Linked DNA regions of Pelodiscus sinensis. The protein of the gene in region 2 purifies or fractionates together with the protein of the main gene of each other region. This does not show direct contact. Links are inferred from orthologs where the notes say so. Each region holds a gene or a part of one and is shown on either strand. Other genes may lie near its edges.

Region 1 (8,035 bases), on a different chromosome or scaffold from region 2:
TAGCTGATTAACCTCATGAATCCTTAGTCGACTATTCTATAGTGCCTGAGGGTGGGGCCGGCAGGAACCCCTAAGGAACCCCTGTCACTCCGTGTTGCTACCTCTGTATCAGAGGCAGCAGCACGGGGTACCAGGTGGGAGCTGGTCCGCGAGGAGAGCCAGTCTAAAAACCAACTCCCCTCGTGGGCCAGCTGCCTGTCACCCCATGCTGCTGCCTCTGATACAGAGGCAGCAACACAGGGCAGCAGCAGCCCCTGTCCGGGAGGGAGCTGAGCTTCCAGACCCGGCACAAGCTGGAACTGAGCCAGGCTGCCTGCCTGTCTGGCTCCTAATACACTTTAAATGCAGAACGGTAGCAAGGGTAGGTGCCGGACCTGGCGTGAGCCAAGACTAAGCCAGGCTGCTGGCCAGCCTGCTAAAAAAATCTACTGGCGGACAGTGGGGAAGATGCATGTAGTCTATAGCATTAGCCAATAAGCTTTTGCGTATTGGTTAATCGGTTAATCGACTCCACTATTACATCCCTATTGTAGGACAAAAGGTATATGGGACAGGACAGACCAAACATGAATTCTGGTACAACAGGAAGGAAGAGACTCCAGACCACATGAGCATTGGTTTATTCTGTTACAAAGATTCTTAAGATGGGGTGGCCTGCAATTGCAGGGGACTGAATTTAACAAGGTGCCTTCTGGTCCTACATCCCACATTCTACACCAATAACCAAAGGATCTGTCTTACTGGTTCATCCACTCACTGACAAACATAAGGGAAAAGAGGTCAGCCCCTCTCTTTTGAGTCTCTCATCCTCCCATTTATCCCCAAGCCCCAAAAGGCACCTTTGGTCATTTCCCTCATTAGTAAATGACCCAAGACACATGTAAGCGACTGAAGAAACAAAAACCTCACAGCCCAATAAATCAGAGCAGACAAATGACGAATTCAAAACCCAACCACCCCATCCCCAAGGAACCACACGGAACACCAAATATCACCTACCCCGTGGTTCCCCACCCAGAGCATCTCTTCGTGCAGATCGAAATGCGAGGTGGAGACAGGTACTCCCACCTCGGAGACCACGGTGTGCAGCTCTGAGTACATGCCTTCCATGATGTGCACTGACTCCGGCACCGGGATGCCCTCCAACGGCACCCCTTCTGGATCCAGCTCCACATTCTGCAGCAGGCTGGGGTTGAGGTGAGGGTCCAAGACTGGATCCAGGGCTGGGTGGAGAGTGGGCGCGTACTCCGCAAGGCCAGGGTCGAGGCCTTCAAAGTTCATGATGAAATTGGACGTCTCCCTTGAAAATAATGGGCAAATCAGAAACACCAAGGCCCCTACGTCTTAGCAATTAAACAGCACTATGGGTATTAGGATGGATGAGGTCTATGAAGTCTCTAGCAATAGTTGAGTATTTAGCTCAGCTCTAATATAAAACCCATGACAAGTCCCTTCGTGAGACGTTCTTTACCCTTCTATCTTTAAGTGCCCAGAGGGGAAGGTGTATTTAGCCCTGCCCTGAGATGGAGGAGAAGCAGCTCAACCCTTCCATCCTAAACATGACTCCTCCCCACCACTTCCTCTCCCTCCTGTGGCCTAAATCTACATTGCAATGGCCCCTGGACTCAGTGCTGCAGCAGACACAGTGCAGTGGTTGGTTTTCGCCTGGCACAGGAGCTGTCCATGGCAGGGGTATCGCCAAGATCCCTTTGTACCAGTGGGCCATAATAGCACAGTACTGAAACTGGCTCTTTGACAGACACCAGAGGCTTCCGTTAGCCACTGACTGACCCTGTAACAATAAAGAGTCACCGCACTGAACTGAGAGCCGCCTAGTGATTACAGTGGAGGAGTGGGATTCGGCTGGACAGCAGAGATGGGTGGCAATTCCTGCTGGCAATGCTGCTCCAGACACACACGAGCCCCTTCTGCAAAGGTCCATTTAGTTCCCAGGCCTTAGAACATGGTCACCTACCTGCTGACAACCAACCCCACTCTGCTCATTACCCATCAGTTCCCCCACCATTCCTCAACAAGTCATAGATCCACTGGGCTCAACTCTGCCTGTGACCACTGACAGGGTCTTGTAACCGAAATGCTGAAATCTCAGTTAGCAAAGTGGAGGTGAAGAGCGATTCTTACCCAGAAGTCTCTGCTAATTTACCCAGAAACCTTTGGTTCTGCAGCCAAATTAGCCACCACCTTCTGCCTGAGGACTGCACGACCCAGAAACCTCTACCATGCAGTCAAGTTACCCACAAACCTCTTCCTGGGGGCATGTTACCTAGAATCCTCTGCTCTGTGGCCAAGTTACCCACAATCCTTTGCACATGGCACGCTACCCAGAATCCTCCACTCTTTGGCCAAGTTACCCACAATTCTTTGCGCAGGGCTATATTACCCAGAATCCTCCGCTCTGTGGCCAAGTTACCCACAACCTTCTACCCTTGGATGTGTTACTGAGAATCCTCTGCTCTGATGCCAAGTTACCCACAATCCTTTGCACAGAGGCATGTTACCCAGAATCCTCTGCTCTCTTGCCAAGTTACCCACAATCCTTTGCGCATGGCATGCTACCCAGAATCCTCCACTCGGTGGTCAAGTTACCCACAATCCTTTGCACATGGCACGCTACCCAGAATCCTCCGCTCTGTGGCCAAGTTACCCACAATCCTTTGCACATGGCACGCTACCCAGAATCCTCCACTCTTTGGCCAAGTTACCCACAATCCTTTGCGCATGACACGCTACCCAGAATCCTCCGCTCTGTGGCCAAGTTACCCACAATCCTTTGCGCAGGGGCACGTTACCCAGAATCCTCCGCTCGGTGGCCAAGTTACCCAGATCCCTTTCCTCAGGGGTTACATTACCCAGAATCCTCTGCGCTGCGGCCAAGTTACCCAGGCTCCGCGCGGGGGTACCTTACCCAGGATGCTCTGCGGCGGCGGGGAATGGCCCTCTCCTTCACTGGCCGCCACCAGCCGCTGCGCCCCCCGCCCCGACTGGAGCCGCGTCCCATCCCCCCGTCGCCGCCATGGCAACTTCCAGCGCCTCTGGCTCCGCCTGCTCAACCACTCCTCAGGCTGAGGGTTCCCTCCGCCTGGCAGGGACCGGGACCAATGAGAGGGCGCGCTCAGAGCTCCGGCCAATCAGAGGGAGACGGGGGCGGGACTAACAGGTTGCGGTGGCTTGTCTCCCAGCTTGGGAGAGAAAACAAGACGGGAGGTCGGAGGGGACATAAAGATCCGAGTCTCTCTCTCTTTACGGCAGCGATTCCGCTGTGACTTAAAGGGCCAGCCGCAACGGAATTTCTCAAAGGGACATCAGAACGTAGGACCTTTTAAAGGGCCAGCAGCAGCACAGTGGCGTTTATCTCTATAGAACACGCCCCCAACAAACACACCCTTGAATGGCGAGGCGGGGGCTCGGGGGGTGTGAAACCCACAGCAAACAAGCCTAGACGGCAGCATCTCATGGGGCCATCATGCCAACGTCCAGTCTGGGAGCAATTTGTGACATGAGTTTGGTGGGTCTCAGCTGTACCCCCCTAACAATTTACACCCACAGCTCTCTACCTCTCCTCCCAGCAAAGTGGTCAGGCCAGGAAGCAGCCTTCACGTTCAGCATGGCTGTGTCTACACTGGGCCACTTATTCCGGAAAATCAGCCGCTTTTCCGGAATAAGCTGTGAACTGTCTACACTGGCCCTTGAATTTCCGGAAAAGCAACGATGCTGTACTGTACAAAATCAGCTGCTATTCCGGAAAAACTATTCTGCTCCTGCTCGGGCATAAGTCCTTATTCTGGAACACTGTTCCGGAAAAGGGCCAGTGTAGACAGCCCAGTAGTCTTTTCCAGAAAAAAGCCCCGATCGCGAAAATGGCGATCGGGGCTCTTTTCCGGAAAAGCGCGTCTACATTGGCCACAGACGCTTTTCTGGAAAAAGGGCTTTTCCGGAAAAGCAGCCTGCCAATGTAGACGCTCCTTTTCCAGAAAAACTGAAAACGGAATAGTATTCTGTTTTAAGCAGTTCCGGAAATTCATGCCAGTGTAGACACAACCCATGGGTTTTCACCCATAGCTCATCCTCTGAAGGGCCCCAGTCTAATCAGTCTATCCCCATACACGTCTATCTATCCCTTTCATACCCATCCGTGTATCCCCTTCACACCCATCCATCCATCTAGCTAGCTAATCATGCCCCCTGTCCACAGAGCGGTATCCATGTTAGTCTGTTTCAGCAAAAACAACAAGATGTCCCAAACTGGAATTTATATGCAAATTTGACACCATCAGAATGGGTCTGAATAGCCATTCCTAGTCTCTAACTCATTACGATATCAAGGAGGGGTCCTGTCACACCTTAAAGATTATCCAATTTATTTGGGCATAAGCCTTTGTGGGTTAAAAAAAAACCCACTTTGTCAGATCTATGGCATGGAAATCACAAAGGTAGGAGGGCTATATATATATGTACTAGCACAGCAAAAGAAAAGAGGAGCACTGAGCCTCAGGGGCCGGATCCAGACAAGCCAGGGGCTGCATCTGGCTTCCAGGCTTTAGGTTCCCCACCCTGCTCTATGATGAAGGACAAATGGACACAAATCAGACATCAGAAATGGTAACACACATAAACCTAGGGGAACACTGTAACCTACCTGGCCACTTAATCATAAAGTAGCCATCCTTCTACAAAGGAATTTCACCACCCAATTACAGAGAGAAACTACAGAACTGGAATTCATCTACAACTTTGACACTATAACCCTGGGCTTGAAGAAAGACATTAATTGGTTAAAGCAAAATGCAGGACAATGTAGCACTTTAAAGACTAACAAGATGGTTTATTAGATGATGAGCTTTCGTGGGCCAGACCCACTTCCTCAGATCAAAGCTCATCATCTAATAAACCATCTTGTTAGTCTTTAAAGTGCTACATTGTCCTGCATTTTGCTTCAGCTACCCCAGACTAACACGGCTACATTTCTATCACTATTAATTGGTTAACACATTACAAAGCCAATTTCCCCTGCCCTTGACATCCTCGTTTTCACATCAAAAGCTATGAATGGGACACATCCAGCCTATAGTTAGGTGGACTTACTGCCGTGGTGTCCTCACAGGTCTCTGGCTCTGTCGATGATGGTAACCGGAAGACTGCTTGTGTGTGTGTGCTCAATGATGTGGGCCCAATGACCACAGCAGACCCCAAGAGGGCCCCCAAACACCACAAACCAGATAAGGATGGAAGGTGCCAGGCCAGGTTTATTGTCGAGCGAAGTACAGTAACAGTTGTCAGTAGACTCTACTGAACCACTATGCACATGTCCTTGCCACAATGGCATGACACAATCAGTGGGAAATTTCCACTGCTCCCCCCCAGTCATACAAAGGCTGTCCCCCCAAGACACCACCTTATATACAGATACAAACAAATCACACCTCACTACTGACATTGTCAGGTTACCACCCTCTGATGCTACTTAGATACCACCCATCACCCTGTACCTCGTGGTTTTATTAGATCATCTCTAGCCATCATTCTGTCATTTTAGACCCTTTCTTGAACCTAAGTCTGTGTCTGTGAGGAGTGGGTACCACAGTCTTTTTTAACAAGCTAGTGATATTCTGTGCGTTCCACTTATGACCAGTACCAATTATTGTTCTGCCCTTGGTTCTATTACCAATTAGTGTTTTGCACTCTTAGCCCTGTTTGTGCCAAGTTTTGTGAGCTGGGGCCTGCCTCTTGCTCACAGTTTAACTTTGCTTTATGTTAGCCATGTTTTGTCCATTGTTAGCTAGGCCTCAGCTCCTCGGGCCAGGCCTGTCCTGCATTGGCTTATGTTTTAAGCCTTCATCATACCACACAGACCGCTTAATTAGCTTCATTAACCCGGGGCCTACAATTGACAGGTACTTCTTTTGCTGTTATGTAGATCTTGGATTCTGTTATTGCCACTCCAATTCAACTGATGAAGTGGGTCTTACCAGGTTACCAGGCGGCTTAAAAAAAAATACCGGATACACTTGATCTCAGATGCGGGGGGCGGGACACCAGCTGGGAGTGGAGGGGAGCGGGGCTGGCTGGGAGGATGTGTGTGAGGGGGAAACCAGCTCGTGGGCAGCAGGGCTGGTGGGGGTGGGGCAGCGGCAGCGGGGCTGGCCGGGGGAGATCGGGGAGCGGAGGGGCAGGGGCAGCGGGGCTGGCTGGGAGAGATGGGGGGGAGACTGGCTGGTAGGAAGCAGGTCTGGCTGGGAGAGGGTTGGGGGGAGTGGAGCTGGCAGGGGGAGATCAGCAGGAGGTGGGGAGAACCAGCCAGTGGGAAGCAGGGCTGGTCAGGAGCAGCAGGGCTGGCTGGGGGGGGGGGGGGGGACACTGGCTGATGGGAAGCGCGGCTGGCTGGGAGGGGGTCAGGGGGAGCGGGGCTTGCCAGGGGGGCAAGCTGGGGGAGAGAATCGGCCAGCGGGGAGCGGGACTGACCCTGGCACACATAGATCCCGGGGTGCTGCCTGTCCCACACATGGTCCTGGCGAAGCACAAGTGAGTCCGGCCCCGAGGATTACCTCCCTCCCCCCCAACCCTGCTCCCCCCCCCCCCCCCCCACATAGTTGCGTACTGCCTGGTTGGTAGACACGCTCACGCAGTGTGAGCTCCTAACAATAATACTGATACTCCTAATAATCATAAAACTTACTGAATTAGAAACTACCAGACATTGTATGTGTCTGGTATTTTCTTATTTTTTTTCTTGGACAGAATCCTCAAATACCGGACTGTCTGGTTCAAAACCAGGCACCTGGCAACTTTAGTCTTACCCAAGAAACTCATGATACTGTGTATTTTTGTTAGTCTCTAATGCAGGGCTACTCAATCAGGGTTGCCAAGTGTCCAGTTTTGAACCGGACAGTCCAGTATTTGAGCTTTCTTTTTGGGGAAAAAATTGAGAAAATATAAATGTCTGGTATTTTCTAAATAAGATGGAATGTAGCTTGTGATGTAATGTCAAGCGTGTCCGGTATTTTTGTTGACACCATCTGGCAACCCTAGACCACAATGATACTCACAGTACATCCCGAGAGCCACAGCCTAAGTGCAGTTGCATATACATGTAAATATATATGCAAATATATACAAATAGCTTCCTTCACACTGACAGGCATGAATACAAAGATTAAGGCAAGATACACCACACACAGGCCCCATTTAAGTCAGTTCTGCTGATATTAACAAAACGCAATATTTACCCGATTTCCACTCATATGACTGCACTTTTAATGAGCAATGACAATCCAGGAATGTAACTACTAAAACTCATAACAACAGACCATTCTATTGACTCGCCATTGTGAAGCGTGTTCCTAGTGAAGGCCATGTTCAAAAGCTCCAAACGGCACCACGGGCCACAAACAAACAGGGCCGCGTGTTGAGTAGCCGTGCTCTAAGGTGCCATGGGACGACTTGTTGTTTTTAAAGTTACAGACTAACCCAGCTAGCTGCCCCAAGACGCCTTGTTTTTTCCTATCCACGGAGTAGCTCATCCCAACTACACAAAGACACCAGGGCTGCGTCTAGACTGGCATGATTTTCCGGAAATGCTTTTAACGGAAAAGTTTTCTGTGAAAAGCATTTTCGGAACAGAGCATCTAGATTGGCACGGATCCTTTTCCACAAAAGCACTTTTTGCAGAAAAGCGTCCGTGCCAATCTAGACGCACTTTTCAGCAAAAAAGCCCCGATGGCCATTTTCGCGAACGGGGCTTTTTTGCGGAAAACAAATCTGAGCTGTCTACACTGGCCCTTTTGCGCAAAAGCTTTGCGCAAAAGGGACTTTCGCCTGAACGGGAGCAGCATAGTATTTCCGCCAGAAGCACTGATTTCTTACAGTAGGACGTCAGTGCTTTTGCGGAAATTCAAGCGGCCAGTGTAGACAGCTGGCTAGTTTTTCCGGAAAAGCGGCTGATTTTCCGGAAAAACTGGCCAGTCTAGACACAGCCCAGGGGTCTGGAGCCGTACCAGGCAGAGAGCCAGGCTACTAA
Region 2 (7,191 bases):
CAACTATTTATACATAAGTTACCGTTAAGGGGGAAGAGTAACTTTGGAAAGATTTTATAAGAGGTAGGAGATGACAAAGTAATATTACTTGATGAGCAACTTTCAGTAATACTTGTCAGCACACCATTTTGAAATCACAATTCATGGATGAAAGTGGTTGTTCAAATGGAGGCTTATTAGATTTTAAAAATCACAATTATTGGGCAAGGGGAAAAAATTGGGAATTTGAGAAATTATGACAAGTTGTATCCATTACTATCCCACCTAGCACCCCTCACACATTTCTGAGAAAAGCAACAGATACAGAAAAAATTTATCACCCCAGTGATTTCTTAAACAATCCAGTATGATGTACAACAGCAACCAAAAACCAAAGGTTATCTCTGACTGACCTCATAACAAGGAAATATTTAATGTTAAGGATTTTAAAGTCGGTCATTTGAATAACTGTATCCAATAACAGATGCTGTCTTGTTCATTATTCTTAGTACACCAATAGTCATCTTATTTTAAGATATAGAACCAACTAAACCACTATTAGCAGCAATTATTGAGTTTTAACTAGCTTAATTAGTCCAATGGTGAAATTAAGTTTCAGTCTGGATTCCACTGAATATAAAATCAAATTAGTTTAAGATACAAGGAAAAAATATTTCCTCAATTTGTTTATAAGCAAAAATGGCCATGCTGTCTTCAAGAACACAAATCAAAGTTGGAAATTATATAAACTGAATATATGCAGTGCAATATTTTCGACAACAAAAACAAGTCTATATTGAAGCAGAGAATAAAGTTAATCCTAGAACCACATCAAAGTATCACTTAGCTAGATAATGGCACTCCTAAAGAAACTAAATACTGAAATTAAAAATATATAATTTAAGACAACAAAACTATATTAAATTATTTTATGAGGCATAAACTAGTTCATATTCTCATTTGTATATTTCAATGGGTCTCATGACTGGACCTTCTACTAACGTGCAATTACAGAATAAGGGAGGAGATTACCCTTCCACACAAACTTGCAAAATTAAACAAAGAGGATTCAAATACCTTTAATACATTCCCACTGTCTCTTGATATCCAAGGATAAACAACTGAACACTCAACCATAACACCACTGTTTTTGTTCCTGACTGATGCTCTTACTGAAGCTAATAAGAATAATTTGGCTTCATGAAAATATGAAAAAATAAGCTCACATATCTAGTATTCAGAGACTAAATTATGATGGTTACCATAATTTAATTGTATTGAAAAGACAGGGATCTAAAGAGCTCTTGCCATTTAACTGAAGCTGATCAAGTATGACGTTCAAGTTTCACCGACCTGGTTATGATCAAAAGCAGTCCTGGTGACCTCGCTTTATAATAGAGCTAATTATTTTATATTAGTGTACAAACACCACACATCAACTCACAGGTACATTATCAATTATTAAAAAGCAAACTCATAAGGCTCTTCCTGTAAACCTAGAAATGTTTAACTTCTATATATGAGACTTCAATTAAAGTAATACAGGTGACAAAAATTAGGCATGTGTAAAAAAAAGAGTCAGTATATGGAAATACCAAGTTTTTATTTATAAAGGTCTATTTTTCAACAAATATAATTTAGTGTTAAAATATATCTTAAAATAACTTAGAATAGTTTGTGTGGAAGTACCTTACAGTATTTGTTCCAGTGGCCCCATAATAAAAGAAAAATATAAGTACTATTTAAAAACACTATAACTGTTTTTTGAAAAATCCTGCCCTCCACTCCAGAGGGGAAAGTGTGACATGTACTAACGCAATGACTGAACAGGTATTTTTCAGCTCCCACTTCTACTGTTTGCAGATCAATATAAAACAATCACCCCCTTACCGTTTCTTCTTTTCCTTCAGGGGCTCTTTGGCAGCTTTCGACTCAGTCTCTCTGTAATGAAACAAGTGAATATTTCGTCTACCTTGTAGAGGTCTCTCTGACGTGCTTCTTGCTTATTTTAACGCCTTAAAAAAATACCCGTAAATTCACGACTCTGAATACGAAAAAAAAAATTCAATTCCCCCCTCCAACTAAAACAAAAAAACAACTCCCCCCACAACCTGCCACAGAAGAGAAGAAAAACAAGTCGACAAGAAAACAGTATCCAAGCAGAAGAGCAGAGGTTCGGTGTTATCCAGTCCCAGTGCAGGAGAAACAGGTTCAATTCCAAAACAAGCTTTAGCTTTCCAGTGGAGAAAGAAAGGAAGGAAAAGAATGTCCCTAGCTAGACTTTTGCACACGAATTCTTTTTTAAATACACGTTTGCTTTCGAGCAACAACAAAAACCCACGAAATTCACGATGTGAAGCGGATGGGGAGAGTTTATTTTTTGTGTTGATGGATTCTCAGTCCAGATGGAGGAGCATCTGAGTGTTCAAAAAGTGCAAATTAAAAGGAAAAGGGGGATCCCACAAACGAGCTGAAAGAGTCCCCCCTCCAAAAATGGAGCCACAGCCGGGGATCCAAGAGTAGGAACCCAGTGAGGAGGAGGATCCAATGAAGTCTCTCTCGCAAGGGGTCCTACAATGGGGGGCGGGGGTAGAGAAAGAGATCCAGCAGTCTCTCTTGCGGTGCTCCAAGCAGGAGGATCCAGCAGTGTCTCTCTCACAGGGGGATCCAATGGGGCCAGCAGAGCGTCTCACGTAGAATCCCGAGGAGAGGGACGATCCAGCGGGCTCTGCCGCAGAGACTCTCAGTGGGGCACAGGGGGTTCCCAGGAGTCTCGCGCCCCGGGGGGGGCAGGAGGCTGAAGGAGGCAGCAAAGTCTCCCAGGGGCTGCTGCAGCGCCTCTCAGGCAGTGTCTCTCTGCGGCGGAGGAGCTGGGCTGCAGCGTCTCGCGCGCGTTCTCTCTAGCAGGCAGGCGGCGCCGGCCCCCCGCTCTTCCTAGCTGCAGCCGCCGCCGTCGCCGTCCTCAGGAGCAGAGCTGCTGCCACCGCGGCCATTTTGTTGCTAACTGACAAGAACCCCACCAGGCAGCGCGAGAGCAAAGAGAGGCCCCCCCCTCCCCTCTCTGACCTCAAACAGGAAGCCTCGGCGTTACCCCCCTCTGATCACGTGACGGGGGAAGACAAACTGCGGCATGCAAATCAATTGGGTGGCAGAGCCAATCAGCGCCGCGACTCAGTGTCTGGTTGCTCTCCTCCTAGCGCGCGAGTGGGCCCGGTCTTCCCCCGCCTCTCGCACGGGCCGGGCGCGTCCATCTTGGCCAGTCCGCTCTGCGCGGGAAGGCTCGCGGCTCTCGCCCGCGCACCTGGGCACCTCTCGCACTGCACGTGCCAGATGCGCCCGCGCGGAGGGGGCTTCGAATGCGGCACCGACCTAACGCGCGCGCTCCTTCCAGAGCCCACTGCGCCGTGCAGAGCCTGACGCTTTGCACATCAGTGCCTGGAAGCGAAGCGAAAATTGCCCAGCTAGATGCTCCCTGCAAAATGCACCGGTGCAGCTGGCACGAGTCCAACCGCTATCCACACCGAACACCAGTGCAGTGAACAAGGCTGGAAAGAAAATCGTCAATAGAAAACGTGTGGCCGGGCTGCCCACGCAGCCCCCCAGTGGCAGCGCAAACTGTACCAGGGCCAATACCTATTTTGATTCGATGTTTGCTTTACGGCAGATGGACCTGAGTGTGTCTTACTCGGGCAAAACTCGGATCGGTTAAACTGCAGTTTTGACTGAGAAAGTACTGCAGGGCCAGGACCGATTTCTAAGTTTTTTGTGAATATAAATTGTACCTGCACCTGAATTGTGGGTACAAATCTGATCACTCCTGCCTTTAACTTCCTGCAGGCGCAAATCAGTGAGGTCAATATTCAGCAAACTACCTTTGATAAAAAACATTTCTTGACTACACACAACATGTGTACCTAAAACTGATTTAGTTAAAATAATACAACCCTCAAGTGAGGACTCTTATCAAATTGGTTTAAGTGCCTTATATCAATTTATCTTAAATCAATAAGGAATAGCTTGAAGTGATGAGACCTTATAGGTTGAAAAAATTACTGGTATGCGTCAAATAAAAACATTGTTTTAAATAAAAATACAATTTTAAACGAGTCTGAATTTAGTACTTCTAATACAAAGACAATACCTTAACAAGCAGGCAGAAAAACTGTCTTTGGGTAACACTAATTAGAGCACAGGTGTTACTTTGGCCACTGGAGGGAGCCCATATTTTTCCAGAATGCAACAGAAACAGAACTTCAAAGATAAAAAATAATAAAACATAAAATATCAGATCATTATAGTTAGAACAAAGTGTGTTCTCTAGGCCAGGACAATATCTATATGTATGCAAAATGTTATAAAAATTAGATTTATGTGTACCATTTTGCTTCATAAGCACCAGAAAGCAAAACGATTAAGAACAATTTCCCTGCATTTGGAATGTCAGTCTATACCTTTCACCAGGACTTTAAATTCACATTTTTTTTCTGAAGTAATGTGATGCTGACAGACACTTGACTACAGTATTGCTGCTCTTACACATCTAGGTCTAAGCTATTTACATTTCAAAGGCAAGTAGTTTGTACTAGTGTAGCTGAGTAGATAATTCAGAGGCACTTTCCTTAACTTTTCAGTTACACAAATGTAGGTCAACACCTGCAAACTGTTGTCCCCCAACGACTCATCAAAAGCAAGTAAGGAAATTGCCAAGCTGTTATTTTCAGAGTGGATTTTGTTCAACATAAGACAACTCCTCAATACAGTGCAAACAAAACAGACATGTACCTTTATCTAAGTAAAGTTTATAATAATAACAACATCATGTCACAAATTAATTTCTGTATATATAGAGTTGTCCTCTACTGAAAAATTTGTTTTAACTATATTAAAAGGTTACTTGCTAGGTCAAATTTGTCCCTAAACTTAGTTTACAAAGCCTATTGTAAAATCTAAGATCATAAGTATTTCCCTTGATTTTTAAAATTCAAAGTATCTTTTTAAGAAGTAAATATTCCCATGCATTTGTTTTCAACACAAACACTAAAGCAAGAGACAAAGATCATGAGATCCTGAAATTGAAACTTGACTAGACAGTGACTAAAAACAAAAGTGAAACTAACAAATGTACTTTCTTCAGTCTTGACCAAGCTAAAATAAATGCAAAAAGGATTATCTAAAATACACATACCCCCTACACAGAACCAATAATGAAAAGTAAATTTGATTTTTACACAAAATGTCCATATTTTAAAGATGCTATTTGTTATGATAAAAATGCATTTGCAATTATTTCAACTACCTGTAGTTTTCTATCATTAAATACAAAGATTTTTTCAATCCAAAAATATTTTCCCTGCTTTGGTTTCTCCTGGGTCAGCCACCACTCATCATGGTTGCGCACTCTTGGAAGTCAGGCAGAGGTGTTTCGCAGGTTTAAGAACCCCATTGACTTGGCATAATCTATCTGAAAGTTGATATATAAAACTGACACACAAAGGAGCCCTCCAAGCAATTTACACATGTGGGTAAAGGTTATAATACATCTGATTTTAAAACTGGATAAGCAGTTCCTATTTCCAGGAAATTTTCAATGTTTGGACTGTGGTAGGTCAGTAAGGCTATGTCTACACTGACAACTGAAAGACAAACTTTTATCATTCAGAGGTATAAAAAAAAACCCACTGAGGGTGTGTCCATACATCACCCTTACCTCGAAATAAAGCGCTATTCTGAAATGTTCCTTTACCCTCATGCAATGAGGTTTACAGAGACATCGGAATAGTGAGCTTGTTATATTTCAATACAACAGGCTTGCTCTTAAGACGCAGAATAGCTATTCCGGGATACCGGAGGTAAACTGTAAACGTAGCCTGAAAGACAAAAGTTTTGTCATGACAAGTGCCACGATGAATGGCATATTGTCAGCAGGAGAACAAATACTGCTCATTGGAGGCAGAAGTATTTTGACAGCAAAAAAACTGACAACAGCAACTACACTGCCCAACTTTTAGGCTATGTCTAGACTGCATCCCTCTGTTGGCAGAGGGATGCAAATCAAGCACATTGAAATTGCTAATGAAACAGGGATTTAAATATCCTGTGCTTCATTAGCATAAACATGGCCACTGCTTTTTTTCTAAATGGACCTTTTTTGAAAAAATGGCAGACTAGAAGCGGATCTGTTGAAAAATAAACCCTTTTTCGAAAGATCCTGTAAACCTCATTTTTTGAGAAATACAGGATCTTTCGAAAAAGGGTTTATTTTGACAGATCTAAAATCCATTTAGAAAAAAAGCAGCAGCCATGTTTATGCTAATGAAGCACAGGATATTTAAATTCCTGCTTCATTAGCAAGATGATAGGATGACTCAGCCAAAAATGTTCAGAGTATATTTTCATCCAGAAATGGAGGACACCACCACAACATCTCACCCAAACAAACATTTCTTCAGTATGTCTCACTGTGTTAACAAGTATTTTCTGGCTCACTGATCATAATTGTCACAACCTGGAGTACTGAATGTTTCCCAGGCTGCCTGTGTCTAAGAGACAGCCAATATACTTTTTAATTTCTGTGCATTTTATTTCTATGCTGAGCACAATTAAGGAAGTTTAACATGTACCAAGATTAATTATCTAAAACTACCTAGTATTTTCTTTGCCCTAGATGAAAAAGATGTTATATGGTCTGTAGACTTGTCAGTGTTTCACCTTTCAGGCATGTTTTCATTTTGGTTGGCAAGTGTTTTGAGCTTCGTAGAAAGCTTCATAGAATTATCTTTCACGACATAAATTTCCTTCATATTGAGGACCAATATGTATTATCTTTTGTGACAAACCCTGAATGGCCTTCATCAATTTCCAAGGCATCTATTGAAATGTAGCTCTTATGTTTTAGACAGACCCTGTTTTATCCTTTCCCGCCACTGTTCGAGTATTCTCTTTGTGTCACATGAGGAAGAACGGATGTGATCCAGTTTGAAGAGAATGGGGGTCATATGATGCTCATGTTTCAGTGCTGGAACATAAAGGCATTCCTATAGATGAGACTGAATTTGCAGTGAGATGTAATCTGTGTAAACCAAGGGTGGGCAATAATTTTTGGTAGGGAGCCACTTTAAGATTTTGGAAAATGGTCAAGGGCTGCACTTTTGTGTGGAGGATGAGTGGGGTCTAGGATGAAGGCTGGGTGCAGAAGGGTGCACAGGATGTAAA

Evidence for each region. The genes of interacting proteins can lie anywhere in the genome.
Region 1: the proteins of TNRC6C (region 2) and PAN2 purify together in Homo sapiens (affinity purification with western blotting; 3 studies listed by BioGRID and IntAct, with this or other methods). This does not show direct contact. The link is inferred for Pelodiscus sinensis from reciprocal best matches to the Homo sapiens genes TNRC6C and PAN2.

Annotation. Positions count from the first base shown.
Region 1 is NC_134729.1:3,832,300-3,840,334, reverse strand, and holds the start of PAN2 (PAN2-PAN3 deadenylation complex catalytic subunit PAN2), read right to left. Parts: upstream 3,092-8,035; 5' UTR 2,927-3,091; intron 1,301-2,926; 5' UTR 1,282-1,300; coding exon 1,000-1,281; intron 1-999. UniProt on the Homo sapiens protein: Catalytic subunit of the poly(A)-nuclease (PAN) deadenylation complex, one of two cytoplasmic mRNA deadenylases involved in general and miRNA-mediated mRNA turnover.
Region 2 is NC_134730.1:7,746,190-7,753,380, reverse strand, and holds the start of TNRC6C (trinucleotide repeat-containing gene 6C protein), read right to left. Parts: upstream 3,074-7,191; 5' UTR 2,091-3,073; exon of another isoform or gene 1,921-2,090; 5' UTR 1,870-1,920; intron 1-1,869. UniProt on the Homo sapiens protein: Plays a role in RNA-mediated gene silencing by micro-RNAs (miRNAs). Required for miRNA-dependent translational repression of complementary mRNAs by argonaute family proteins.